Linked DNA regions of Elephas maximus indicus. The protein of the gene in region 1 interacts with the protein of each later gene in a biochemical or structural test. Links are inferred from orthologs where the notes say so. Each region holds a gene or a part of one and is shown in the gene's direction. Other genes may lie near its edges.

Region 1 (15,727 bases):
AATAGAAGTGACATGAACAGATACATGCAGCCCTATTCACAATAGCAAAAAGATGGAAACAACCTAAGTGTCCCTCAATGGATGAATGGGATGTGCTACATACATATAATGGACTACCACTCAGCAATAAAAAAAATATGAGTTTCTGAATGGGGGATATTACATTGAGTGAAATAAGTCAATCTCAAAAAACAAAACCAAGTATTTATGTTCCTACTTTTATGAAATCACATGAAAAGGTAAATACATACAGAAACTAGTGTCCATTAGGAGCCCTAGTGGCACAATGGTGAAGAGCTCAGATCTACCAGCTGCTCCTTGGAAATTGTATGGGGCAGTTCTACTCTGCCCTATAGGGTCACTATGAGTCAAAATCGACTCAACGGCAATGGGTTTGGTTTGGTTTTTGGAATGTCCTTTAGTGATTACCAGAGATGGATGGTGGTGGGGGGAATTCACTCTCTAGACAGTAAACACTTGTTATTTTTGGTGATGGGAAAGGTGACACCGAATGAGGGTGAAGTGTGCACTGCATGACCAAGGTAAATGATGTCACCAAGATGTACATAAGAAAAAAGCATCTTTTGGTAATTGCTATGGCATGTATAATTTTGCAACAACAACCAAAAAATATATGTTGGGGTATGTATGTAGGCATGTATGTGCATAGGTATATATATATATGTGGGTAGATATGTGTGTGTATAGGTTTATGCATACATATATACATATATATGTGTGCATGCATATGTATTCATATATATATAAAAAAGCACACAAGAGCATAGTTACAGATACTTCCTAGACATAACCAAACACATTGTAGGATTTGTGTTCTGGGTTTGAAGGCTTAGGACCATAGTCTCATGGAACAATTAGCATAATATACCTCATAAAGTTTATGTTCTACATCCTACTTTGGTAAGTGGCGTCTGGGGTTTTAAAAGCTTGCGAGCAGCCATCTAAGTTACAACTCTTGGTCTCTACTCGTCCAGAACAGAAGAGAAAGAAGGAAACAACAGACTCAAAGAACTGGTTACAGAACTAATAGTCTACACAAAGCATGGCCTCATTTGCCCTGAGTCCAGAACAAATGGCGTCCAGCTACCACTACTGACTATTCTGATCAGGGCTACAACAGATAGATCCTGATAGAATGGGAGAAAAATGTGGAGCCAAACCTCATATTCTAAAAAAATCCAGATTTACTGGACCAGTTGAGACTGAAGGACTCCCTGAGACTATTGGCCTGAGATACTCTTTAAACCTTGAATGGAAATTAGGCCCTGAGGTCACCTTTTAGCTAAGTAACAGATGGTCTAACAAAATAAAGAATATCACCTGTGAGTACTGTGCGCCTTTAAAAAATCATCTATATGAGACCAAATGGTCAACAATTACTTTAAAACAAAGATGAGAAGGGGACAGGTAAACTAGATTAATGGGAACAGAACAGAAATAATAATGGTAATGCACTGTGAAGAATGTAACCAATGTCACTGAACAATTTGGGTGGAAATTGTTGAATGAGAACATAAACTGCTATGTAAAGCTTCACTGAAAACACAATAAAGTATTATTTAAAAAAAAACTTTTTATTGAATGATAAAATTGTGCAAGCTTTAAATTTTCCTTTACCCATCTGTAAAATGGAGATAATCACCAAAGCCATTCATAGGGTGACTGTAAGGACCAAATGAAACACTGTAAACCTAGTTATGCTGAACAAATGATAACTGTCATTATTTATTTTTATTATGATTTAGGTGAAAGTTTACATAGCAAGTTAATTGCTATCATTATTTTTTAAGATAAGTAGTCTATTACTCAAAAAAAAAAAGGTATTTGCAATGAATGTCATTGGTCTTGCAAAATTCTATAACGCGATCTCCAGTGTCATTTCTATCACCAAGCCCATATTTTCCAACTACCGATCCCTTTTCTTTGTTTCCAACTTTCGCATTCCAATCACCAGTAATTATCAATGCATCCTGACTGCATGTTTGGTCAACTTCAGACTGCAGAAGATGGTAAAAATCTTCAATTTCCTCATTGTCTTCCTTGCCTAGTGCTGCTATAACAGAAGTACCACAAGTGGATGTCTTTAACGAAGAGAAATTTATTTTCTCACAGTCTAGTAGGATGGAAGTCCAAATTCAGGGCATCAGCTCCAGGACTAGCTCTCTCTGTCAGCTCTGGAGGAAGGTCCCTCTCATTAATCTTTCCCAGGACTAGGAGCTTCTCCATGCAGGAACCCCAGGTCCAAAGGACATACTCTGCTCCTGGCACTGTTTTCTTGATGGTATAAAATCTCCAACTCTCTGCTCACTTCCCTTCCTTTTATCTCTTGAGTGATAAAAGGTGGTGCAGGCCATAGCCCAGGGAAACTCCCTTTACATTGGATCAGGGATGTGGCCTTAGTAAGGATGTTACAATCCCACCCTCATCCTCTTTAATGTATTCTAATCTTGCCTCATTAACCACAGACAGATATTAGAATTTACAAAACACAGGAAAATTTCAATCACAAAATGGAGGACAGCCACATAATACTGGGAATCATGGCTTAACCAAGTTGACACATATTTTGGGGGGACACAATTCAATCCATGACACCCATCTATGGCATTAGTGGTTGGTGTGTAAATATGAATAACAGTCTTATTAACTGGTCTTCCTTGTAGATTTATGGATATCATCCTATCACTGACAGCATTGTACTTCAGAATGGATCTTGAAATGTTCTTGTTGACAATGAATGTGGCACCATTCCTCTGCAATTTGTGACTCCTGGCATAGTAGACCATATGATTTTCTGATTCAAAATGGCCAGTATCAGTCAATTTCAGCTCACTAATGCCTAGGATGACACCCAAATTTGTGGAGCATTCCATATTTTTTATGGAGCCATGGTGGCGAAGTGGTTAAGAGCTCAGGTCACTAATCAAAGGTAGGCAGTTCAAATCCACCTTTCCACTCCTTGGAAACCCTATTGTGCAGTTTTACTCTGTCCTATAGGGTTACTATTAGTTGGAATCGACTCGATGGCACACAACAACAACAACAACAATGCCTACCATATAGGTCTTTATGCATACCATTTCATCTTTGACGACTTCCAATTTTCCCAGATTCATACATTGTACATTCCACGTTGTGGTTATTAATGGATATTTGCAGCTGTTTCTTCTCATTTTGAGTTATGCCACATCAGCAAATGAAGGTCTTGAAAGCTTTACTGCAACATCATTAAGGTCGACACTACTTTGAGGAGGCAGTTCTTCCCCAGTCGTATTTTGAGTGTCTTCCAAGCTGAGGCGCTCATCGTCCGGCACTATATCAAACAATGTTCTGCTGCTGTTCATAAGGTTTTCATTGGCCAATTTTTTCAGAAGTAGACTGCCAGGTCCTTCTTCACAGCCTTAGTCTGGAAGCTCTGCTAAAACCTATCCACCATGGGTGACTGCTGGTATTTGAAATATTGGTGGCATAGCTTCCAGCATCACAGCAACACGCAAGCCACCACAGAACTACATACTGACAGACATTCATTGCAGATACCTTTTTCAACAACATAAACAGTGACTATACATGTGGATCTCACTGGATGGAAAACACAGGAACCAAATCAACCATATCTGCGGAAAGAGACCATGGAAAAGCTTAGTATCATCAGTCATAACAAGGCCACAGGCTGACTTCAGAACAGACCATCAGTTGCTCATATGCAAGTTCAAGTTGAAGCTGAAGAAAATTAAAACAAGTCTGCAAAAGCCAAAATGCAACTTTAAGTATATCCCACCTGAATTTGGAGACCATTTCAAGAACAGATTCGACGTGTTGAACACTAATGACCAAAGACCAGACAAGCTATAGGATGACATCAAGTACATCATACATGATGAAAGCAAAAGGTCATTAAAAAGACAGGGAAGAAAGAAAAGACCAAAATGGATATCAGGAGAGACTCTGAAACTTGCTCTTGGATGTAGAGTAGTTAAAGGGAATGGAAAAAAATGATGAAGTAAAAAAGCTGAACAGAATATTTCAAAGGGCAGCTTGAGAAGATAAAGTATTATATTGACATGTGCAAAGACCTGAAGTTAAAAAAGCGAAAGGGAAGAACATGCTCAGCATTTCTCAAGCTGAAAGAGCTGAAGAAAAAATTCAAAACTGAAGTTCCAATTTTGAAGAGCTTGTCTGCTAACCAAAAGGTCAGCAGGCGGAACCACCAGCCACTCCTTGGAAACCCTATAGGGCAGGCCTACTCTGTCCTTTCAGGTTGCTATGAGTCGGAATCAACCCGGTGGCAACAGGTTTGTTTTTATGGGTGTCATGGATTGAATTGTGTCCCCCCAAAATATCTGTCAGCTTGGCTAGGTCATGATTCCCAGTATCATATAATTGTCTATTGTCATCTGCTGTGATTTCCCTATGTGTTGTAAATTCCTATCACTGTGATGTAATGAGATGGATTAGTGCCAGCTATACTGATGAGAGCTACATGATTACATAGTATCTTAAGCCAATCTCTTTTGAAATATCAAAGAGAAAAACGAGCAGAGAGACACAGGGACCTCATACCACCAAGAAAGCAGTGCCAGGAACAGAGTGCATCCTTTGGACCTGGGGTTCCTGCATGGAGAAGCTCCTAGTCTGGGGAAGATTGATGACAAGAGCCTTCCTCCAGAGCCAAGAAGAGAAAGCCTTCCTCTGGAGCCGATACCCTGAATTTGAACTTCTAGCCTACTAGACTGCAAGAGAATAAATTTATCTTTTTTGAAGCCATCCACTTGTGGTATTTCTCTTTTGCATCATTAAATGTCCAAGACAATGGGGAAAATATTGAATGCTGCAGAAGGCATCAAGAGCAGATGGAGGAATACACAGAGTCACTGTACCAAAAAGCTTTGGTTGACATTTAACCATTTCAGGAGGCAGCATGTGATCAAGAAACAATGGTATTGAAGGAAGAAGTCAAAGCTGCACTGAAAGCACTGGTGAAAAACAAGGCTCCGGGAATTAATGGACTATGAAGTGAGATGTTTCAGCAAACAAATGCAGTGCTAGAGATGCTCACTCTTCTATCCAGGAAATATGGAAGACAGCTACCTAGCCAACCAGCTAGAAGAGATCCATATTTGTGCCCATTCCAAAGAAAAGTGATCCAACAGAATGTGGAGAGTGTCAAAGAATATCATTAATATCACACACAAGGAAAATTTTGCTGAAGATCATTAAAAAATGGTTACAGCAGTACATTAACAGGGAACTGCCAGAAATTCAAGCTGGATTCAAAAGAGGACATGGAATGAGGGATATCATTGCTGATGTCAGGAGGATCTTGGCTGAAAGCAGAGAATACCAGGAAGATGTTTACCTGTGTTTTATTGACTATGTAAAGGCATTCAACCGTGTGGATCATAACAAATTATGGATAATATTGCAAGGATTGGAAATTCCAGGACAGTTAATTGTACTCATGTGGAACTTGTACATAGACCAAGAGGCAGTTGTTCAAACAGAACAAGGGGATACTTCGTGTTTTAAAATCAAGAAAGGTGTGTCTCAGGGTGTATCCTTTCACCATACTTATTCAATCTGTATACTGAGCAAATCATTGGAAAAGCTGGACTAGATGAAGAAGTACACAGCATTAACACGGGAGGAAGACTCATTAACAACTTGCAATATGCAGATGATACAACCTTGCTTGCTGAAAGCAGAGGACTTGAAGTACTTACTGATGAAGATCAAAGACTACAGCCTTCAGTATGAATTATACCTCAACATAAAGAAAATAAAAGTCTTGACAACTGGACAAGTAAGCAACATCATGACAAACAGAGAAAATATCAAAGTTGTCAAGGATTTCATTTTACTCGGATCCACAATCAACACCCATGGAAGCAGCAGTTGAGAAATCAAAAGACGCATTGCACTGGGCAAATCTGCTGTAAAAGACCTCTCTAAAGTGTTGAAAAGCAAAAAATGTCACTTTGAGGACTAAAGTGTGGCTGACCCAAGCCGTGGTATTTCCAATCACCTCATATGCATGTGAAAATTGGACAATGAATAGGAATAAAGAAGAAGAATTGATGCCTTTGGTTTACGGTGTTGGCAAAGAATACTGAACATACCATGGGCTGCCAGAAGAATGAACAAATCTGTCTTGTAAGAAGTACAGCCAGAATGCTCCTTAGAAGTGAAGAATGATAGACTGTATCAGGAGGGATCAGTCCCTGGAGAAGGACGTCATTCTTGGTAAGGCAGAGGGTCAGCAAAAAAGAGGAATACTCTCAACGAGATGGATTGACACATTAGCTTCAACAAGGGGCTCAAACATAACGATGAACGTGAGGATGGCGCAGAACTGTGCAATGTTTTGTTCTGGTCCATTACTTGTGTGATTACAAGTTAGTTTAACATCTTTTCCACTAGGCATAAAAGCACATTATCCTGTCTCTCACTGCATCGCCAGTGCCTGGCACAGGAACTGGCATGTGGAAAGCAATAATCAAAGTTTAATAGATAAATAAATGAATTGGCAAGGACCCAGCCACCTCCCCCCACATTTTTTTGTAAATTTTAATTTTTGTATCATTTCAAACTTACAGAAAAGTTGCAAAAACTATATAAGGAACTCCCATACAAGCTTTACCTAGATTCACCAAAAGTTTGTTTTGTCTCATTTTCTTAATCATTCTCTATTTTTACATATATGCATTTTTTCTAAATCATTTGAAATTAAGTTGGAGAAACTGTGTCTATTTACTCCTGAATACTTCCGTGAGTATTTCCTAAGGACATTCTCTTAACATAACTACAGTACAGTGATCAAGTTCCGAAAATTTAACGTTGAAAAAATACATATTAATAGCTAACCCATAATCCATATTAAAATCTCATCACCTGTTCCAGTGTGGTCCGTTAAAGCTATCCCCTGCCCCCACCCCCAGTCCAGGGTCCAATTTAGAATTACACATCACATTTAGTTGTCGTTTGTTTTTAGTCTCTTTAAACTGGAACAGTTTCACAGCCTTTCTCTGTCTGTAATGACACTGACATTTTTGAAGAGTACATGTTACTTATTTTGTAGAATCTCCCTCAATGTGCGTTTATCTAATGCTTCCTCTTAAGGTTCAAGTTAGACATTTTTGGCAGAAGAGATGTTCTGTCCTTCTCAGTGCATTGTTTTCAGAGGCACGTGATCTCTACTTGAACTCCTGGTAATCTTAACGTCCATTACTTTGATCATTTGTTCCACTGTGTCAACCAAAAACCAAAACCGTTGTCGTGGAGTCCATTCCGACTCATAGCAACCCTACAGGACAGAGTAGAATTGCCCCATAGTGTTTCCAGGGAGCACCTGGTGGATTGAAACTGCCGACCTTTTGATTAGCAGCCAAACTCTTAATCACTACGCCACCCGGGTTTCTTCCCACTAGGTTACACCTCTGTAAAACTAATACTTTCCTTTTGTAGTTAATAAGTAATTTATGGGAGACACTTTTACAGTCTAAATAACCTATTCCTTTAGGATATTTGTTGGTTCTCTATCATGTTTATTAGTTGGCATTCTACTATAGAGTTTTACCGTCTTCTCCATTTATTTATTTATTCACTTCTTTATGTCAGCAAAGACTCATGAATTACTATTTTGTTCAATTAGCTATATTCCATTACTATCATTATGTATTTTGATGCTAAAATTGTCCCAATTTGGCCAGTGGGATCCTCTTCGAGTTTGCTTGTGTCCTTTGACATATGCCTATTATTCTAAGAACACCTCCTTAAATTCTGATGGAACAAGCTCATTCCACACTTTCCTTGCCCTAGCTCTGGTTATCAGTCTCTTCTTCAAAGAACCCCTACTCTAGCGCTTCGAAAAGCTAACCGCTTCCCGTCCGCAGGCGGAACCTTAGATCCGGGTCCTAGACCCGAGAACGGCGCAGCGGACCAACCTTTTCCGGTCGCGGCCGGAAGTCCTTAAGAGGGGCGGCTCCGAGTCAGGTGACTAGAGTTCGCGTAGGTGGGGTCGAAGGTCTTGCCACACGGACTCCTTGGCCGGTTGACTGGCAGGTCAGCCGACAGGCCGACAGGGTGGAGTGGCCTAGGCGGCGTTAGGTGCGCGGAGGCAGGTACGTGAGGGTCTGGGGTGGCGGGCCTGGCGAGGCTGGGAGCCGGGGACGTGGGACCGGGTTCTGCCTTCCTGGGGCCCACGGGCTGTGGCACCTGAGACCCGGAACTCGGAGGCAACAAGCACGGCCATGCCCTGGGCCTTCTGCCTCGGAAGGAAATGGGGCTAGCGTCTTGATTTTCCGTCCCGAAGAAGGGGAGAGACTCCCTCCAGCGCTCCCTTCCAGACAGGGACTGACCCTAACTCCCTTCGCGCCCTTCCACCCCCGCACGGGACCTCCTGTCTCACCGTGGGGTTGCTTTTAACGCGTTTGCCCTAGTATAGAGGCCGAGGCTAGGAAACGTGGTGAACAGAGTTGGACTGGGAGTCAGAGACCTGTGTTGGAGACTTCGCCACCTACAGTCAGTTGTGTGTTCTGGGCCAAATCTCCTTCCTGTGCTGGGCCTCGGCTTTCTCATTTGTAAAACGGGGTACTACTCGTCAAAATATGATTCTCACACCATCTGCTTCAAAATCCCCCGGGATGCGTGTTTTAAAATGCAGATTCCTGGGCCTCACATAAAACCTCTGGTTTAGAATCTGGATAAGAGTCGTGGGAATCCTATACGTACTCATGTTTGAAACCCACTAATATTAGGTGCTTTCTTGCTGGGAGTACAAGGATTCATTCTTCGCTTTGAGGCAGCTAGAGCCTGTTCAGGATCTTGAAAGAATTGTAATGGTTAGCCCAGCAAAGAGTGCACTGGAAGGGAGGAAGTGTCGTTAAAAAGCAAAAGGTTTTATGTCAAGGAGGGCTTCCACTTCTTTGGGACTGAAGGAGGCAGAACTAGTATCAGGAAGAGAAGATTTTGACTTAATAGAAGCACTTAATGGAAGAACCATCAGAGGTGAGCAGCAATGGAATAGATTGCCTCAAGAGGTAGTGACTCCCTGTTCAGGAGGTGTGTAGGCATTAGGTGGATGTTTTTTCCACCTTGAAAGTCTCTGATTCTAAGTAGTTATTTTGACCCTTTCTGGTGCTGACTCTACCCTCAAAGTACATGTGACTTCTTTTTTCTGCCTCTTTTTCTTGGATGACCCCCAACCCTGGGAGTAAAGCCAGTGGGTCTGGCCTTATGTAATCTATGCCTGCTTATTCTTTGCACCATCCCTCTTTTCAGGGACTTTGGAATGGCTCAACATCTCATAGGGGTTCCTTAAATGTTTGTTGAACAAATAACTAAGCAGTTCCCCATCTCCATCGTTTAATAGTTTATTTTCTTAGGACACCTTGGAAGTGCCCCCTTAAGATTTTGTGTTTGATCAGGTAAAGCCAGTGAACTCTTTGGGTTACAGAGTGGAGAAGTCTCAGTTGGAAGGACACTTTGAGATTGTGCAGGCCAGCCTTCTCCTCCCTCAGACATAAATCCTTCCTTAATCCTCTCACCAGCAGTGTGTGTTGTATAGATGTTGTGCAGACAGAGAGTTTTTGCAGTCTATTGGCTAACTTTTCATCCAGCATATGAAACCTGTCCTCTTACGGACTTAACCGGCCAGTTCATCGTCGCTAGTGTGTAATCTGCAGATAGTACTTCTGATATAACTTTAGTTTTCTAATCGGACACCAGAGTTCCTTATTTTGTGATCTGCAGAATTCAGAGTAGTTCACTTTTTAAAAGTCTGTTAGAGTGGTTAAGAATGCATAAGTTGCCCTATGGAGCCGAGAATCCATGTTACGACTCAATTCTGCTGACATGCAAAAAAAGAAAAGGTCGGAGTTGAGCCAAGACTTCCTGCCTGTGTTTATCTGCTTGTTTGTGTGTGTTTCCCATGTTTAAAAACAGTTGTGAAATGCTTGTTCAGATACTATCCAGGTGCCAGGTGAAATGATCTTAATTTGGTGGTTGGGAGATAAGTGTTTAAAACTTCTTAATCTAAAGGTTTCCTTTTTAAAGAAGTACCTAAATTAACATTTTCATGAGTGTGCTCTTCAGGTCACTAATCTGAAGATATGCTGCTGAAAAGGTGGTTCTGTGGTAAATATAAGTTCGGGAAAAGCTACGTACTATTATCCCTTCTTGAAATTTCTCAGTTTATAGTACCATATTAAAGGCACTGAGAAGTTTTGCAATAAAGAAATGTGTTTAACCTTGTTTAATACTGTCAAACTTATTTGAGTAAAACACTCTTGCTTTTTAAATGAAGCACACATTAGCCAGTTCTCACCTAGACCAGCGGTATGCAAACTACAGCCTGTGGGACAAATGTGACCCCACTGTTTTTGCATGGCCTGTGAGCTAAAAATGGTTTTTACATTTTTAAATGGTGGGGAATAAATCAAAAGAAGAATAATATTTCATGATATGTGAAAATTATAGGAAAATGAGGTATCAGTGTCCATAAATAAAAGTTTTCCTGGAACACAGCCCCTCCCATTCATTTATATATTGCCTTTGATTTCTTTAATGCTACAACAGCAGAGTTGAGCAGTGGTCACAAAGACCATACAGCCCACAAAGTTTAAAGTATTTTCTATATGGCCATTTCCAGAAAAAAAATTGATGACTGCTGACCTGTATCAGGTACAATTTTTTTAAAGTCTTTATTTTGAAATAATTTTAGATTTAAAAAAAGTTGCAAAAATAATACACAAATTTTTTGTATACCCTTTACCCAGCTTCCTACATAACCATAATAAAATTATTTAAACAAGGAAATTGACATCAGTACACTCCTAGCTAATTTATAGACCTTATTCTAATTTTTTCTATTCCGAAGTACAGTGCTATCAGTGAAAGGATAATATCCATGTGCCTATAAGAAAGACCAGTTAATACGATGATTGTTCAAATTTACGCATCAGCCAGTAATGCCAAAGATGAAGAGACTGAAGTTTATTTTTTTTATTATACCAACTTCTGCAGTCTGAAATTGATCAAACATGCAGTCAAGATGCGTTGATAATTACTTGTGGTTGGAAACGAAGAAGAATCAGCAGTTGGAAAATATGGCCTTGGTGATAGAAACGACACCGGAGATTGCATGGTAGAATTTTGCAAGATCAACAACCTGTTCATTGAAAATACCTTTTTTCAACAGCATAAATGCTGACTATACCTGTGGACCTCACCAGATGGAATACGTGGGAATCAAATCAACTACATCTGTGGAAAGAGCTGATGGAGAAGCTCAATATCATCAGTCAGAACAAGGCCAGGGGCTGACTGCAGAACAGACATCAGTTGCTCATATGCAAGTTCAGTTGAAGCTGAAGAAACTTAAAACAAGTCCACGAGAGCCAAAGTATGACCTTGACTATATCCCACTGAATTTGGAGACCATCTTAAGAGTAGATTTGACACATTGAACACGAGATTGAAGACCAGACGAGCTGTGAGATGATGCCAAGAACATGATACATGAAGAAAACAAAAGGTCATTAAAAAGAAAGAAAAGACCAAAATGGATATCAGAAGAGACTCTGAAACCTGCTCTTGAACATACAGTAGCTAAAAAGAATGGAGGAAATGATGAAATAAAAGAGCTGAACAGAAGATTTCAAAGGGTGGGTTGGGAAGACAAAGTATAATGAAATGTGTAAAGACCTGGAGCTAGAAAATTGAAAGGGAAGAATACACTCAGCATTTCTCCAGCTGAAAGAAAGAAAAAAAATTCAAACCTCAAGTTACAATATTGAGGGATTCTATGGTTTTGGTTATGGGCAAAATATTGAATGATGCAGGGTCCACTGAAAGAAGATGGAAGGAATATACAGAGTCACTATACCAAAAAGATGTGGTCAACATTCAACCATTTCAGGAGGTAGCATATGGCCAACAATCGATGGTATTGAAGGAAGAAATTCAAGCTGCACTGAAGACATTGGCGAAAAACAAGGCTTTAGGAATTGACGGAGTACCAATTGAGATGTTTCAGCAAACAAACACAGCACTGGAAGTGTTCACTCAACTATGCCAAGAAATTTGGAAGACAGCTACCTGGCCAACCGACTGGAAGAGATTAGTGATCCAGCAGAACATGGAAATTGTCAAAGAATATCATTACTATCATGCGCAAGTAAAATTTTGCTGAAGATCATTCAAAAACAGTTGCAGCAGTACATTGACAGGGAACTGCGAAAAATTCAAGCTGGATTCAGAAGAGGATGTGGAACGAGGGATATCATTGCTGATGTCAAGTGAATCTTGGGTGAAAGCCGAGTGCACCAGAAAGATGTTTACCTGTGTTTTATTGACTGTGCAAAGCATTTGACTCTGTGGATCATAACAGATTATGGGTAACATCGCATAGAATGGGAATTCCAGGACACTTAATTGTACTCATGCGGAACCTGTGCATAGACCAAGAGGCAGTTGTTCAAACAGAACAAGGGGATACTTCGTGTTTTAATATCAGGAAAGGTGTGTCTCAGGGCGTATCCTTTCACCATATTTATTCAGTCGGTATGCTGAGCAAGTAATCCGAAAAGCTGGACGAGATGAAGAACACAGCATCAACACTGGAGGAAGATTCATTAACAGCCTGCAATATGCAGGTGACACAACCTTTCTCGCTGAAAGCGAAGAGGACTTGAAGCACTTATTGATGAAGATCAAAGACTACGGCATTCAATGTGGATTACCCCTCAACGTAAAGAAAAGAAAAATCCTCACAACTGGACTAGTAAGCAACATCATGATAAGCAGAGACAATATTGAAGTTGTCAAGGATTTCATTTTACTTGGATCCACAATCAACCCCCGTGGAAACAGCAGCCAAGAAATCAAATGTTGTATTGCATTGGACACATCTGCTGCAAATGATCTGTCTAAAGTATTGAAAAGCAAAGATGTCACTTTGAGGACTAAGGTGTGCCTGATCCAAGCCATGGTATTTTCAATTGCCTCATATGCATGCAAGAGGTGGACCATGAGTAAGGACGACCAAAGAGGAATTGATGCCTTTCAGTTATGATGTTGGCAAAGAATATTGAACGTACCATGGACTGCCAGAAAAATGAACAAGTGTATGTTGGAAGAAGTACAGCCAGAATGCTCCTTAGAAGCGAGGAATGCAAGACTTCGTCTTAACTTGCTTTGTACATGTTATTGAAGAGGGACCAGTCCTTGGAGAAGGACATCATGCTTGGTAAAGTAGAAGGTCAGTGGAACAGAGGAAGACCCTCAATGAGATGGATCGACATAGTGGCTGCCGCAGTGGGCTCAAGCATAACAATAATTGTGAGGATGACGCAGGACAGACATTGTTTCGTTCCGTTGTACATAGGGTCACTATGAGTTGGAACCGACTCGACGGCACCTGTCTTAAGCTGGATTCTCTAGAGAAGCAAAACCAGTGGAAGTATGTATACATACATACATACATATATACATATATATATGTAGAGAGAGAGAGATCTCAGGGAATGCTCATGCTGTTGTGGAGGCTGACAAGTCCCAAAGTCTGTGGGTCAGAGGTTGGCTGGAGGCTTCTTCTGACTCATGTAGCTGCAGGGGTTGACAAACCTAGATTCAGCAGGTCAGACTGCAGGCTGGTGGCTCACAGGGCTGCTGAGCTGACAAATTCCAAAGTCAGCAGATCAGGTGACAGGTTGCAGGTTTAAGCCCCAAGAACCAGAGATCAGATGATAACAAGCCAGGAAAAGTATCCAGAGCAAGCAAGAGCTTTGCCAGAATGTCCATATATATATGTAGGGTGCAGGCCACACCCCCAGGGAAACTCCGCTTATAACTGGGTGATCACATTATGGATGCGATTACATTTTGTCACAAAATGGAGGATAATTATACCAGATCATGAAGTGGAGGATAATTACATCAGATCACAAAATGGAGAATAATTACATAATATGAGAATCATGGCCTAACCAAGTTGACACCTAACAACAACAATTCTAATTTTACCACTTGTCCCACTTACATCCTTTTTCTGTTCCAGCACCAAATCCAAGATCCCATATCACATTTAGTTGTCAAGTCTCCTTAGTCTGTTCCAACTTGGGACAGTTCCTTGGTTTTTTTTTTTTTTTTTTTTTTTTGTCTTCCATGATTAACACTTTTGAAAAGGACTGGCCAGTTGTTTTATAGTTTCTTTCAATTTTTTTTTAATTGAGATTTAATTCATACGTAGTAAAATTCACCGTTTTATGGTTTATAATTCGTTGGTCCTTAGTATATTCACAAGGTTGTGGAACCATCACCACCTGTTATAGATTGAATTATGTCCCCTAAAAAATGTGTGACCAGTATTGTGTGATTTTCCTATATGTTGTAAACTCTGTCTTTATAATATTGAGGGAGGATGGGCGGCAGTTGTGTTAGTGGGGCAGTACTCAATCTACAAGATTGGATTGTGTCTTCAGGCAATCTGTTGAGATGTAAAAGAGAAGCGAGCAGAGAGACCGGGGTCCTCATACCACCAAGAAAGCAAGAGCAGAGCATGTCCTTTGGATCTGGGGTCCCTGCATGGAGAAGCTCCTAGTCCAGGGGAAGACTGACGAGAAGGCCAACAGAGAGGGAAAACTTTCCCCTGGAGCTTACACCCTGAATTTGGAGTTTTAGCCTACCTTACTGTGAAATTTCTCTTTGTTAAAACCATCCGCTTGTGGTAATTCTGTTACAGCAGCACTAGATGACTAAGACACCACCTATATAATTTCGGAACATTTTTATTACCCCAAAAAGAAACTCCCCATTCATTAGCAGGTGCTCCCCATTTTTCCCTCCTACCCCTAACCAAAAAAACTGCTGTCAAGTCAATTTCTACTCATAACAACCCTATAAGACAGAGTAGAACTGTCCCATAGAGTTTTCAAGGCTATAAATCTTTAGAGAAGAAGACTGCTACATCTCTCTCCCACAGAGCAGCTTGTGGATTCGAACCACCAGAGTTTTGGTTAGCAGTTGAGTGGTTTAACCACTGCATCATCAGGGCTGCTTCTTCTATCCCCTACTAGCCACTAATCTATTTTTTGTTTCTTTGTTTCTGTGGATTTGCCTGTTCTGGACATTTCATCTAGATGAAATCATGTAATATGTGGCTTTTTGTGTCTGACTTCTTTCATTAAGCACAATGTTTTCAAGGTTTATGTTGTAGTATTTATCAGTGCTTCATTCCTTTTTACGGCTGAATAGTATTCCATTGTAGGGATGTAGCACTTTTTGTTTATCCATTCATCAGTTGATGGACATTTGGGTTGCTTCCACCTTTGAGCTATTGTGAATAATACTGCTATAAACATCCATGTACAAGTGTTTTGAACTTATGTTTGAACTTATGTTTTCAATTTTTGGGGTTTTTTTTTTTGGAGTGGAAACAGCAGTCAAAACCAAATGATGTATTGCATTGGACAGATCTGTTGCAAGAGACCTCTTCAAAGTGTTGAAAAGCAAAGATGTCACTTTCAGGCCTAAGGTGCACCTGACCCAAGCAGTGATGATTTCAGTTACCTCATATGCATATGAAAGCTGGACAGTGAATAAGGAAGACCGAAGAAGAATTGATGCCTTTGAATTAGAGTGTTGGCAAAGAATATTGAATAACCATGGACTGCCAGAAGAACAAACAAAACTGTCTTGGAAGAAGTAC
Region 2 (15,394 bases), on another chromosome or scaffold:
TTAGTAAATTTCACTACCATTTTGGAGAAAGATTGGGGTTACAAAAATGAATAAACTCAATTCCTAGCCTCATAGAGTTCCTAGACTAGTGACTGGCATGCACACAGTTATGAGACAATGCAATAAGTGCTATAATAAATATTGCCCACAGTGAGCTATGAATACAGGGAACAGAAAGGGAATGGTCCTTTCATGGCAGATGACAGGGAAGGCTTGCTTCAGTTAACCCTGAAGTAATTCATCATGAAAGGAAAGAAGAGTCCTTGGGAGGTCCTTTATTATCTGGCTTCCAAATACCTTTTTCTATCTCTTTCATGCCTTCTACCATACAGAACGAGATACCTTACTTTTGCATTTGCTGTTCTCTCAGTCTGAAATGCTTTTTTCCTCCTTCTCCTACCCTCATACCTCTAACCTCCCCACAAACTTTATGGGATTTGATTCTTCAGAGAAGAAGAATGTCATTCAAGGCAAAAGGAACATTTAACAATTTAACATCTCATATGTTAATGCATTTCTGCTTCACACCCTTTTTTTTTAAATAGCTTTTTGATTTTTTTTTTTTTAATTTCATTTTAGGTGACAGTTTAGAGCACAAATTAGTTTCTTATTCAAAAATTTATGCACAAACTGTTTTGTGACATTGGTTGCAATCCTCACAATGTATCAGCACTCTCCCCCTTTCCTTTATTCCCTGGGTTCCCCATGTCCATTCATCAGGTTTTCCTACCCCTTCCTGCCTTCTGGTCTTTGCTTTTGGGCAGGTGCTGCGCATTAGGTCTCCTATACTTGATTGAACTGAGAAACACATTTCTCAAATGTGTTACTGTTTGTTTTATACGCCTGTCTAATCTTTGGCTGAAGGGTGGACTTCTGGAGTGGCTTCAGCTCTGAGTTAGCAGCGTGTCCAGGGGCCATAGTCTCGGGAGTCCCTCAAGACTCTGTCAGACCATTCAGTCTGGTCTTTTTTTTGAATTTGAATTTTGTTCTACATTTTTCTCCCGCTCTGTCTGGGACCCACTATTGTGATCCCTGTCAGAGCCGTAGTTGGCTATTTTTATGCACCATCTAGTTCTGGGCTCAGGCTGGCGGAGGCTGTGGTTCTTCTGATCCATTAGTCCTTTGGACTGTTACTTTCCTTGTGTCTTTGGTTTTCTTCATTCTCCTTTTCTCTGAACATTGTGGGACCACTAGATGTATTTTAGATGGCTGCTTGCGAGCTTTTAAGGCCCCAGAGGCTACTCAACGAAGATGTAGAACATTTTCGTTATGAGCTATGTTATACCAGTTGACCTAAATGTCCCCAGAGACCATGGTCCCCAGCCTTCAGCCCCAGTAACTTGGTCTCTCAAGGTGTTTGGATGTGTCTACTACCTAGTTAGTGATTTCCTTTCCTCACCCCTCCCTTCCCTCGTAACATCTGTCATAGATTAAATTGTGTCCCCCCAAAATATGTGTCAATTTGGTTAGATCATGATTCCCAGTATTGTGTGGTCGTCCTCTATTTTATGATTCATGTAATTTTCCTGTGTTTTGTAAATCCTAATCTCTGTGATTAATGAAGCAAGATTAGATTATGTTAAAGAGGATTAGGATGGGATGTAACATCCTTACTCAGGTAAGGATCCAATGGGGTGGGGCCTGCATCATCTTTTGTCTTACAAGAGATGAAAGAAAAGGGAAATGAACAGAGAGTTGGGGACCTCATACTAGCAAGAAAGTAGCACCGGGAACAGAGCACATCCTTTGGACCAGGAGTCCCTGAGCCTGAGAAGCTCCCAGATCCGGGGAAGATTGATGACAAGGATCTTCCTCCAGAGCCAGCAGAGAGAAAGCCTTCCCCCGGAGCTGACACTCTGAATTTGGACTTCTAGCCTACCAGACTATGATAGAATAAATTTCTCTTTGTTAAAACCATTCACTTGTGGTATTTCTGTTAAGATACCATCAAAGATTGTTTTTTTCTGTGTATAAATCTTCTCTTGAATTTTTGTAACAGTGGTTTCATGCAACATTTGTCCTTTAGTGTTGACTTATTTCACTCAGCATAATGCCCTCCAGATTCATCCATGTTGTGAGATATTTCGCAGATTCATCATTGTTCTTTATTGTTGGCGTAGTATTGCATTTTGTATATGTACCATAATTTGTTTATCCATTCATCTGCTAATGGGCTTCACACCCATTTCTTTCTTTTTTTTCAATTGTACTTTAGATGCAGGGTTACAGAGCAAAGGTTTAAGACATTGGTTAACAGCCCCACGGCATGTTAGCACTCTCCCTTCTCGACACTGGGTTCCCTATTACCAGCTTTCCTCTTCTCTCCTGCCTTCTAGTCCTTGCCGTGGGCTGGTGTACCCCTTTAGTCTCATTTTGTCTTTGGCCAAAGTGTAAACCTCAGGAGTGACATCATTACTGAGCTAAAAGGTTGTCCGGGGGTCATACCCTCGATGTTTCTCCAGTCTCTGTCAGGCCAGTAAATCTGGTCTTTTTTTTTTTTTTTTTTTTGAGTTAGAATTTTGATCTACATTTTTCTCCGGCTGCGTCCAGGACCCTCTATTGTGATCCCTGTCAGAGCAGGCAGTAGTGGTAGCTGGGCACCATCTAGTTGTACCGTACTCAATCTGGTGGAGGCCATGGTAGATGTGGCCTATTAGTCCTTTGGACTAATTTTTCCCTTGTATTTTTTTTTTTTATCTTTAGTTTTCTTCATTCACCCTTGCTCCCGAAGGGATGAGGCCAGTGGAGTATCTTAGATGGCAACTCATAGGCTTTTAAGACCCCAGATGCTACTCGCCAAAGTAGAATGTAGAACATTTTCTTTATAAACTATGTTATGCCAATTGAGCTAGATGTTCCCTGAGACCATGGTCCCCACAGCCCTCAGCCCAGCAATTTGGTCCCTCAGGGAGTTTGAATGTGTCTGTGGAGCTTCCGTGACCTTGCCTTTTATGAGTTGTTCTGGCTTCCCCAGTATTGTGTACTGTCTTACCCTTTACCAAAGTTACCACTTACCTGTTGTATATTTAGTGTTTTTCCACTCCCTTTCCTCCCCTCTCTTGTAACCATCAAAGATTGTTTCTTTTTGTGTGTAAACCTTTTCATAAGTTTTTATAGTAGTGGTCTCGTACAATATTTGTCCTTTTGTGATTGACTTATTTCACTCAGCATAAGGCCCTCCAGATTCATCCAGATTATGAGATGCTTCACAGATTCATCATTGTTCCTTACTGTTGTGTAATACTCCATAATTTGCTTATCCATTCATCTGTTAATGGGCATAGGTTCTCTCTTTTTGCTATTGTGAACAATGCTGCAGTGAACATGGGTGTGTATATGTCTATTTGTGTGATGACTCTTATTTCTCTAGGATATATTCCTAGGAGTAGGATTGCTGGATCAAATGGTATTTCTATTTCTAGCTTTCTAAGGAAGCGCCATACCATTTTCCAAAATGGTTGTATCATTTTGCATTCTTCCAGCAGTGCCTAAGAGTTCTGATCTTCCCGTAGCCTCTCGATATTTCTTATTTCCTGTTTTTTTGATTCGTGTCAGTAGTGCTAGGGTGAGATTGTATCTCATTGTGGTTTAATTTGCATTTCTCTAATGGCTAGTGATCACGAGCATTTCCTCATGTGTCTGTTGGCCGCTTGAATATCTTCTTTGATGAAGTGTCCATTTCCTTTGCCCATATTTTAATTGGATTATTTGTCTTTTTGTTGTAGAGTGTTGGATTTTCGTGTAGATTTTAGAGATTAGACTTTTGTCTGATTTGTAATAGTCAAAAATTTTTTCCCGGTCTGTAGGTTCTCTTTTTACTCTTTTGGTGAAGTCTTTTGATGAGTGTGTTGTTGTTGTTAGGTGCCATTGAGTCAGTTCCAACTCGTAGTGACCCTATGTACAACAGAGTGAAACACTGCCCAGTCCTGTGCCATCCTCACAGTTGTTGCTATGCTTGAGCCCATTGTTGCAGCCACTGTGTCAATCCACCTCATTGAGGGTCTTCCTCTTTTTCGCTGACCCTCTACTTTACCAAGCACGATGTCCTTCTCCAGGGACTGATCCCTCCTGACAACATGTCCAAGTATGTGAGATGCAGTCTTGCCATCCTTGCTTCCAAGGAGCATTCTGGTTATACTTCCTCCAAGACAGATTTGTTCGTTCTTTTGGCAGTCCATGGTATATTCATTATTCTTCACCAACACCACAATTCAAAGGTGCCAGTCCTTCTTTGGTCTTCCTTATTCATTGTCCAGCTTTCGCATGCATATGAGGCAATTGAATACACCATGGCTTGGGTCAGGTGCACCTTCGTCCTCAAGGTGACATCTTTTGCTTTTTAATACTTTAAAGAGATCTCTTGCAGCTGATTTGCCCAATGCAATGCATCGTTTGATTTCTCTACTGCTGCTTCTATGGGTGTTGATTGTGGATCCAAGTAAAATGAAATCCTTGACAAAGTCAGCCTTTTCTCCATTTATCATAATGTTGCTTATTTGTCCAGTTGTGAGGATTTTTTTTTCTTTATGCTGAGGTGCAGTCCATACTGAAGGCTGTGGTCTTTGATCTTCATCTGTAAGTGCTTCAAGTCCTCTTCATTTTCAGCAAGCAAGGTTGGTCATCTGCATAACGCAGCTTCTTAATGATTCTTGCTCCAATCCTGATGCCCCATTCTTCTTCATACAGTCCAGCTTCTAGGATTATTTGCTCAGCTACAGATTGAATAGGTATGGTGAAAGGATACAACCCTGACATACACCTTTCCTGACTTTAAACCATGTAGTATCCCCTTGATCTGTTCAAATGACTGCCTCTTGATCTATGTACAGATTCCTTATGAGCACAATTAAGTGTTCCGGAATTCCCATTCTCCACAATGTTATCCATAATTTTTTACGATCCACACTTGTTCTTACCTACTAATCTGTAATGAACAATTTCACATTTTTTTCGTATGTGAAATTTTCACTATAGATTAGTAAGCCCAAGTAAGCCTGTGCTTACCTTGTATTATAGATTGAATTGTGTCCCCCCAAAATATGTGTCAGCTTGGTTAGGGCATGATTCCCAGTATTGTGTGGTTGACTTCCATTTCATAATTGATGTAATTTTCCTATGTTTTGTAAACCCTAACCTCTGCCTGTGGTTAATGAGGCAAGATTGGGTTATGTTAAAAAGGATTAGGGTGGGATGTAACAACCTTACTCAAGTCATATCCTTGATCCAATGCAAAGGGAGTTTCCCTGAGGTGTGGCCTGCATCACCTTTTATCTTACAAGAGATAAAAGGAACGAGAAGTGAGCAGAGAGTTCGGGGACCTCAACCACCAAGAAAGCAGTTCCTTTGCTGAGAAGCTCCTAGTCCAGGAGAAGATTGATGACAAGGACCTTCCTCCAGAACCTACAAAGAGAGAAAGCCTTCCCCTGGAGCTGGCACCCTGAATTTGGACTTACAGCCTACTAGATTGAGAGAGAATAAATTTCTGTTTATTAAAGCCATCCACTTGTGGTATTTCTGTTATAGCAGCACTAGATAACTAAGACACCTTGCTCACTGGTTAATTTGCCCCTACTTCCAAACATCAAACTACACGAGTTTTCCTCCTGTATTTCTGGCTGTTCTTTCTCAGTCTACTTTGCTTGTTTTTCCTCCTTGAGCACTGTGCTCAAGCCCAACGGCACGACCAAATCAATCTCAAAATTCTGTCTTTATGAGTCTTCTGGGACTTTTTTTTTCTTTTTAAATTTTATTTATTTTATTGTCATTGTTGAGAATATACACAGCAAAACATACACCAATTTAACAGTTTCTACATGTTTTTTTACATGTACAATTCAGTGACATTGATCACGTTCTTCAAGTTCTGCAACCATACTCACTTTCCTTTTCTGAGTTGTTCCTTCTCCATTAACATAGATTCACTGCCCCCTAAATTTCCTATCTAATCTTTCAAGTTGCTGTTGTCAAGTTGATCCCAAATAGATAGTTCCTTTTTTTTTTTTCCTAAATTGTGCATTAGGTGAAAGTTTTACAGAGCAAATTAGTTTCCTATTTGATAGTTTGTACAAAAAGCATGTCATGACTGTGGTTTCACTCCCCACAATGGGTCAGCACTCTCCCCATTTGCACCCTTGGTTCCCCATTTCCTTTAGTCCTGATTTTCTACCCCTTCCTGCCTTCTCATATTTGTTTTTGGTCAGTGTTATGGATTGAATCGGAACCAACTTGACGGCACTGAACAACAGCAACATGGATTGAATTGTGTCCCCCCAAAATGTGTATCAATTTGGCTAAGCCATGATTCCCAGTATTGTGTGATTGTCCACCATTTTGTCATCTGATGTGATTTTCCTACGTGTTGTAAATCCTACTTTTATGATATTCGTGAGGCAGACTTAGAGGCAGTTATATTGGGGCAGGACTCAAGCTACAAGATTAGGTTGTTACATGAGTTGATCTCTTTTGAGATATAAAAGAGAGAAGTGAGCAGAAGGGGGACCTCATACCCCCAAAAAAGAAGCACTGGGAGCACAGCACCTCCTTTGGACCTGGAGTCCCTGCGCTGAGAAGCTCCTAGACCAGAAGATTAATGACAAGGACCTTCCCCCAGACTTCTAGCCTCCTAAACAGTGAGAGAACAAAATTCCATTTGTTAAAGCCAGCCACTTGTGGTATTTCTGTTATAACAGCACTAGAAGACTAAGACAGGCAGGTAGATATTGCCCTTTGATTTCCTGTAATTAATTTTTCCAAGAAGTACATTCCTCTGGGGTGTTATTGTTTAACTTATGGGCTTCTCTATTGTTTGGTTGGGACGTAAAAGAGCATAATGTTCTTAAAAGAGCATAATGCTCGAGGCAGACATTTCTTATTTCTTACTAGTTAAGCTAAATTATTGTTTGGTTTTAAGAAGACTTCAGTGGAAACATTTGGTTTAAGGTTTAAAGACTATTTTAGGGCAATCTTGGGACCATTCTTGTTATGAACCATGTAGCAACCTGGGTTCAATCAGGAGATAGAAATCACACAATAGGTTAAATTGGGGGAGTTTAATATAAGAATTATTAACTATAATAAAAGAGTACAAGATATAAGGAAACTTTATGTGGTAACTTAGGGCTGAGGGAGAGTACCCAAGGAAGGACAAACTTGGAAGAAGTTCAGACTTCATAGGAGGTTATACATTGGCTATCAGATAACAGAGAAGTTTGCTGGTTTAGCCAGACTGGAGCTAGTCTGGAGTTGCTAAGCAAACAACAGGCAAACTGCCACAGTGGAGGGTGGAGAGCAAGCAGGGGGTATCTGTTAACCAGTGGGTGTCTGCAGAAGGCTTTCAGGGAGCACTTAGTGACTTTCAGAGGGAGAAGCACCTCCATGTGTGACCCTGTGGACCACAGGTGGCTGTGTGCAGGGCATGCAGTAGTTTAGTTTTTGAGCTGAGAGTGCTGTGGATGGGTTATTGCCAGACCAAGGCTGCAAGGTTGCGGAGGGATCACTTTCTGTGCCTCTGACACAAACAAACTCCACCCAATGCTGTCACACCCACAAAAGGCTAACTTTTTTTCCCCTCACCCATGCTTTGTCCACTCCGCACCCCCCACTGGAAATCTCGGGAATCTTCTTCATCCTCCAGTGTCCCTCCAGCAATCTCTACTGAGAAAGCTTAACATTGTGCTTGCTTTAAAGGAGAAATGCTTAAAGGCATTCTGTTGTTTATTGTACAGCATCTATTGAAAGGTGCATTCGGAGCTAAGAGACAATGATACATCTCATAGTTAACGTGCTCCAGCCACACTTGATGTTGTTTCAACGACTGGGCATGATCTCACCTTAGGTCATTTTGTTAGCTTCTCTTTCTGTTTGGAACGCTATTTCCCTAGGAATCCCCTCCTTTAAATCTGCTCAAATGTCACTGGTATGGATTGAATTGTGTCCCCCCAAAATGTGTGTAAACTTGGCTAAGTTATGATTCCCAGTATTGTGTGATTGTTCACCATTTTGACATCCGATGTGATTTTCCAGCGTATGGTCAATCCTATCTCTATGATGTTAATGAGGAAGGATTAGAGGCAGTTACTTTAATGAGGCAGGACTCATTACAAGATTGTTACTTGAGTCAGTTGTTGAGATATAAAAGAGAAGTGAGCAGAGAGACAGGGGGACCTCATACCACCAAGAAACAAGAGCCAGGAGAATAGTGGTCCTTTGGACCAGCGGTCCCTGCGGGGAGAAGCTTCTCGACCCGGGAAGATTGATGACAAGGACCTTCCCCCAGAGCCAACAGAGAGAGAAAGACTTCCCCTGGAACTGGCACCCCTAAATTTGGATTTCTAGCCTCCTAGACTGGGGAGAATAAATTTCTCTTTGTTAAAGCCGTCCACTTGTGGTATTTGTGTTACAGCAGCACCAGGTAACTAAGACAGTAACTTTCTCAGTATTTCAGTAGTGCACCACCTCTCATTCCCAATCCACTTTGCACTACTTTTTCCTTTTTCTTCTTTTTTAAATTGTGATTTAGGTGAAAGTTGACAGAGCAAATTGGTTTCTTATTAAACTGTTCATACCTAAATTGTTTTGTGACATTGGTTGCCGACCCATATTTTTTCCTTTTTCAATAGTGCTTATCATCGTCTACCATATAAGATAACTTACCTATGTAATATATTTATTGTCTACTGTCTGTTTCTACCGACAATGTTCTTCCAGCTTACCAGAACGTAAGCTCCAGGAGAGAAGGGATCTTTGTTTATGGATATACCCCAAAAGCCTAAAAAAGCTTGTCTACTTCAAAAGTTTGTCTACTTGCAGGGCTTCACACTGGTTCCAATTTGTTACTGGACGAAACCCCAGGTTCTGCTCGGCATGACTTCTACTAGCCAATAAGTGAGAGAACGAGGTGGGAGAACAGGAAAGGCACCTTTATTTCGTTGTAAAAGGAAAGCAGGCGCAATGGGGTTTACATAAAAGCAGAATTCAAATGCAAAGTTGGGGGAGAGGAAGCCAAGTAAAGAAAATAGAATTTTTAATACAATACTATGGAGCTGTCCAATACACGTTCAGTCAAGGCCAGTGAAGCGAAACCGGAACCAGAATAACCGGAATGAAAAAATTACCAGTGGAAGCCCTGGAATGGGAGACTTGGAAGAGGCATAGTGAGCCCTTGCAGGCGCCTCATACGGGAGGTTGATTATTGCTAGGACTGTGCAGAGTGATACACAAAGCGGCAAGGTTAGCTGCCGCCTTGATGGGGTACCGTTTTCTGAGCTCTGCTCAAAATCCTAAGGGCAAGAGATTTGGTTGCCATGCAATGGGATATTGCTCTTATTTTTCTAAGAAAGAGATTAGGTTTCCAGCAAGGCTTCAACAAGTAATTTTTCCCATTTTGGTTATTGTTTCGGTTCACCCAAATTTTAAAACCTCGGGTCTGCTCCTTGACTTTGATCGAACTGGGCAGAACCGGTTCAATGCCCTGGAGAGAAGGTACCTTGTTTTCCAAAATTCGTCTAGGTGGTACTCCAGCAAGTAAGTTTGGCGACCAAAGCCCTCAAGAAATTGTACAGTGTTTTCTGCCTTCCTCTCCTTGCGTTAAGTACTGTACCCAAACCAGTGGCACCGTTCCCACTGAGGGTGAGAATATACCCACTCTCCAGCACGCGGTGGCCTGCCCCAGGCGGCGGGGGCGTAGCTTCCTGTGACCGCCCAGCGTCGAGTTCCCCTCCAATGCGTGCTGGCCTCCAGGCGGCGGACGCTTTCCCGCTCAGTTACCGTCATTCTTAAGTTTCATTTCTTACTCCATTTCTGCTGTCTCCTTCTGAGGGCGTTTATCCGAAGTCAAGTTACCTTTCGAGGAGCAGAGAGCCCACGGCATGGACCCTCGGCAGGGAAAGGCAACGCGGACACCTAAAAAGGTCGAAGCCGCGGCCCCTAAAGGCTCAGCGCCGAGTGCAGGAGGCGCCCTGGAGAAGTCAGACAAATCTTCGCCTGCCTCCGGGGCCGCGCAGTCCTCCAGAGAAAGGTGCGGCCGGGCTGGGAAGTCGGAGTCCCTGAGGAGGAAGAGCGCCCCGGGCCCCCAGGAGAGGCCGCAGGGGGCCCGCTCCAAAAAGGCGCCCCTTTGCGCCGGGGACACGGAGCCCTTGGGCGCCGCCACCTGCGTCTGTTTGGAGGGAGAGAGGCCTTCCGCGCCTCTGAGGGCGCCGGTTCCCGGGGGGGGATCTCGCTGCGAAGAGGACGCGGAATCCGCTAGAGAGCAGAGGTCCGCGCCCGGGCCTAAGGAGTTGCGGATCCCGCGATCGCTGGTCCCGGCCCCGAACCTCGGCCGAAGAGAGTCGGCGGACGGTGCCTATATTAAGCTTCGGGCAGTGCTGGAAAAGTTGAAGTTGAGACGTCAGGAGATCACCTCGGCGGCTGAGATCGTGAACGGGGTCGTGGATTGCCTGCTGCGGAGACTGCAGAGCTGTGAATCAGCGTTCAAAGGCATCTCCCAGTTGCGCACTGGGAGCTACTATGAGCGCGTGAAGGTGAGCTGCCCAGCGCGCCGGCTGGGCTTCCTCGGCCCCCTTTCCAGCCTCTCCGACTTCCTTCTCTCCCTCGGGTCGCGGTCCCTCACCTCCCTTCGGAAGTAACTTAGACTCCTGTTCCGTGGTGGCTTGTGCAGAGTTCTAATTAAGTCGACAAACACTTGTTCGTTCACTTATTCGTCTGTTCATCTAACGGTGATCCGACTAACCGATATTGATTGCCAGCCACTCTCCAGACACTGCTATGAGGGATTTCAAATGTATAGATTCATTCATGTAAGCTGAGATGTATTGAATTTCTCTAGCAATACTAGGTGTTGTTAAACTCTAACGATGATTGAGAGTGATTTGCGAGGAACTCCACAAAATTTATGTATCTAAGAGACTTTTTCCTACGAGGGGGACATCCGTACTTTATAGGACAAATGTCTTCAGTTACCCCTTGCCACCCCTTCCCATTTCTATACAGATATGGGAAATTCACAGTGATGTTAGAAAAAATTAAATGAAATTCTGTAGGTATTAAAAAGCATACTTCCTAAATACACACCAATATAATTGCTTTTAAATCTATTTTCCAGAGCTCCATTTGTTTGTGGGCGATTGAGTCATTAAAATAATATTTCCAGTATAAATTGACTGTTTGGAGCAGTTTCCTGACTTGAGTTTATTTCCTGATCAGTGGCAAATTTATTTGATTGTGTTTTTGTCTGTCAGCTTTCTGAGTGCTGGGCTATGCACCTTCTTTAGCTTTATGTAAGATCTTGGGTGAAGCATGAACACAAATAGAGGCTGATAACATATCTTTATTAAAGTAAAACCAGAAAACCAAACCCAGTGCCGTCAAGTCAATTCCGACTCATAGCGACCCTATAGGACAGGGTAGAACTAACTGCACCATGGAGCCTCCAGGGAGCGCCTGGTGGATTCGAACTGTCGACCCTTGGGTTAGCAGCCATAGCACTTAACCGCTACACCACCAGGGTTTCCTCATTAAACTAATCATATCTTTAGAGTTAAATGTTGGCTTTATTCAACTACCTACTTCTTTCTGGAAGGAGGATGATTGTAATACTCAAGATTTAGGGTTTTAGCATTATAAACTCTTAAGAGAGCAGGCTAAATATATGCATCTCTGTATCTCTTAGTCTTAACACATAGCAAGCCCTCAAGCTAATGAATGAATGAATAGGCTGAAGAAGAAGGGATGGGTGGTCTGTCTTAAGATTCCCTTTCTCAACCTTCTCCTCAGCCTCTTCCATATTCACCTCTTTGTGTTGATAACCTTGGAAAAGTCAGAAAAGCATATAGAAGAAAAATAATATTTATTTTATTCAGTGTTATCATTTTGCTGTATTTTCTTCCATTATGTATATATACATAAACTTGATTTCAAACTTGGATTCCAGGCTCTGAAAGGACAGACAATATATACTCCTTAGTGATTTATTTACCTGACTGTATATCAGCATTCATATATTGTAATATTATCAATTCCTGGATACAAATCTGGAAAATATCTCGTAAATTTTTTGTAAACACCCCCTGTAGAATTGCCAGTCTGTATAGTTCTTTTTTTTTTTTTTATTTTTAGTTCTTACTGTCTTGGTTGTTAATATACTTTATTATTTATATAGTTTGGACTGAATGAAAACATTACATAGAAATCAATTAATTATGCAATGACACATTAACCAGTCAAGAAAAGTAACAAACTATAGCAATGTGCAGCAACATGAATGAATCTTACAAACGTAATGTTGAATAAAGCTAAAGAATACATATAGCCAATGAAATAAGGCAAGAAAAATAAATAAAATGCATGAAATTGGAAAAGAAGAAATAAAATTGCTATGCACAGATGACTTGATTGGGCTTTTGTACAAACTATTAGAAATAATTAGTGAATTTAGCAAGGTTGCTAGATACAAAGTCGATACACAAAAATCAAAAGTATTTCAATATAATAGCAAAAACAGGTTTAAAATGATAAAAAATATAATTTACAATAACATCAAAACATCAAATGATTAGGAATAAGTTTTGTTAAAGATGTTCAAAACTTCCAAGTATTACTGAGTAAATTTGAAGAAGTACTAAGTAAATGGAAAGCCAAACAGTGCTTAGTTTTCCCCAAATTGATTTACAGATTCAATGTAATCTCAGTCAAAATCCACCAGTTTTTTATTTAAGCTGACCAGCTGGTTATAACACTTATATGGAAACGCAAGCACCCAGAATAGTCAAGGCAGTTCTAAAGGAGAACAATGTTGGAGAATTTACCCTACCAGATACCAAGACTTACTATAAATCCTGATTAAGCACGTGGTATTGGTGCAATGATAGACAAATAGGCCAATAGAATAAAATATCCAGACACAGACCCACCAACGCATATAAGTCAATACAGTACACAACATATGCAATATATGTAATTCGATGGGGAGAGGTGGTCTTTTAAATAAATGATATTGGAGCAGTTGTATATCCCCATGAGAAAAACATGCACCTTGACCCCTACCTCACATCATACACAAAAAATCATTTGAGATGTGTCATAGGCCTAAAGGTAAGAGATAAAACAATAATGCTTCTAAAAGAAGGCATAGGATAATAACTTCATAACCTTGGAATGTGCAAATATTTCTTAAACAGGACACTACAAATGCTAACCATAAAAGAAAAAATAGGTAAATTAGACTTTATTAAAATTAAGAGCTGCTGTTCATCAAAAGATGCCATTGAGAGAGTAAAAATGCAAACCATAGACTAGGAGAAGATGTTTGCAATATATATATATTTGAAAAAGGACTCATACTCAGAATATATAAAGAACTACAAATCAATAACAGAAAGACAAACTAAAAATGGGCAAAAGACTTGATCAGATATTTAGTATGTCATCCAGATAGCAATAAACATATGAGAGGTGCTCAGCGTCATTAATATCAGGAAAATGCAAATTAAAATTATGATGAGATTCTACCACACATCTATTAGAATGGCTAAAAATAAAATAGACTTGACAGTTTCAAGTGTTGGAGAAGATACGGAGCAACTGAAACTCCCTTACATTGGTGGTAGGAAGATAAATAGGTACTACCTCTTTAGAAAGTCGGCAGTTTTTTCTAAAGTTAAAGATACACCTACCCTATAGTCCAACAGTTCCACTCTTGGGTATATATACACAGTAGAAATGAGTGGTCATGTCCACCAAAAGGCATATGCAAGAATGCCCAGGACAGCATTAATTGTAGTAGTTAAAAACCATAAACATTTCGCTGGGTGTATTCTCAACATCAATAAATAAATTAAAAAAAAAAACAAAACTGTAAACAACCGAAATATCCATCAACAGAGTTGGTAAGTATATTTTGATATATTCCATTAATTCAGTGGAATACTACATAGAATGATAAAGAACTGCCAATGTGCAGAACAATATTGATGATTCGCACATAATTTGAATGAAAAAACTCTGATGTAAAAGAGTACATACTATATGATTTTGTTTATATGAAGTTCCCAAACAGGCAAACTTTCTGTTATTAGAAGTCAAAATACTGGCTAGCTTTGGTGGAGGGTTACTGACAGGAAGTGGGAATGAGGAAGCCTTTAAGGTGCTGAGTGTGGAAATAGGGCAATTTAGAACACCACAAAGCTCACTGTTGTTACTGAGGTTTGACCATTTTTCTTGAATAGACACTCCTCAGATTTTTGCAAGTCTTTGGTTAATTTACAGAGTTCAGAGCTCCTTGGATTGTTGCAAGCCTTTGGTTAATTCAGAGTTCTGAAAAAGTTGAGTTTGTCCTGTGTTCTTACTGCTTTTATGAAGGAGCAAGCTTTTGGAGGTTCTTACTCCATCATTCTCATTGACATCATTCCCAGTGTGTGTTTTACTTTCAGTACATCTCAACTCAAACTAGCCATATTTCATGTGTTCACTAGACATATATGGCTACTAGCTACGGTATTGAACAGTGCAGTCAAAGAGCTATACTTAAAGCATACTCCTAATGAAAGGCTCTTGACATTTTTTTAGGAAAAATAAACATTTATTAAAATTGCTGTAATTATTATTATGAGGTGAAAAATAAGATCATTTGATGCTCTTAAAAATGCTGTGCTTCAAAGACACTAATGTAGTGAATGGTTTGTTGGTGACACTCGCTTGGGCGGCCAACAGCTGTAACAAGATGGCTCTTGGTCACCTGGCTAGGAAGTGACTACACATATTTTTGAGACCATGGCTACAGGAGGGTGACTGTAGTATCTTTTGATATAAAAGAAAACATCATAAAGGTCTTTAGTTTTACTAAAATTTAAACTCAGAAATAAAACTGAGATAGACTTTAAGCTTACATGATATCATTTATAATTAGTTGTAATTATAAAAAAAAAAACCAGTAAAACTCTTCCACCTGTTCCCAGCTCCTCTAATCCCATTTCCAGAGGGTATAAATGTTTGGAATTCTGTTTTTAAGAGTAGACTTTTAAGTAGAAATTTCAAGAAGAAATTAATTGCAGCCCCTTGGAAAATATTCACAAGTAAGCATTTCAGTTCTCTTTTTACTATTTCATAGATATCTGCTCCTAATGAATTTGATATCATGTTTAAACTGGACGGCTACAGAATTCAGCTAGAAGAATATGGCGATAGTGGTGCTTTTTACTTTGTGAAGTTCAGAAGAAATCCCAACGGAAATCCTCTGAATCAGTTTTTAGAAAAGGAAGTATTATCTGCTTCTAAAGTACTGGCAAAGTTTAGGACAATTATTAAGGAAGAAATCAAAAACATTAAAGGTAAGATTTTTGACATTCAGTTTTTCAAATTCTAATCATACCTACTACTGCCAATGTACTGTTGTCTCCTGATC

The links.
Region 2: of the proteins of RNF185 (region 1) and CGAS, one has a biochemical effect on the other in vitro, tested with the Homo sapiens proteins (2 studies listed by BioGRID). The link is inferred for Elephas maximus indicus from reciprocal best matches to the Homo sapiens genes RNF185 and CGAS.

What each region holds. Positions count from the first base shown.
Region 1 is NC_064840.1:25,064,627-25,080,353, reverse strand, and holds the start of RNF185 (E3 ubiquitin-protein ligase RNF185), read left to right. Parts: upstream 1-7,970; 5' UTR 7,971-8,141; intron 8,142-15,727. UniProt on the Homo sapiens protein: E3 ubiquitin-protein ligase that regulates selective mitochondrial autophagy by mediating 'Lys-63'-linked polyubiquitination of BNIP1.
Region 2 is NC_064819.1:136,748,609-136,764,002, reverse strand, and holds the start of CGAS (cyclic GMP-AMP synthase), read left to right. Parts: upstream 1-9,733; 5' UTR 9,734-9,866; coding exon 9,867-10,517; intron 10,518-15,100; coding exon 15,101-15,320; intron 15,321-15,394. UniProt on the Homo sapiens protein: Nucleotidyltransferase that catalyzes the formation of cyclic GMP-AMP (2',3'-cGAMP) from ATP and GTP and plays a key role in innate immunity.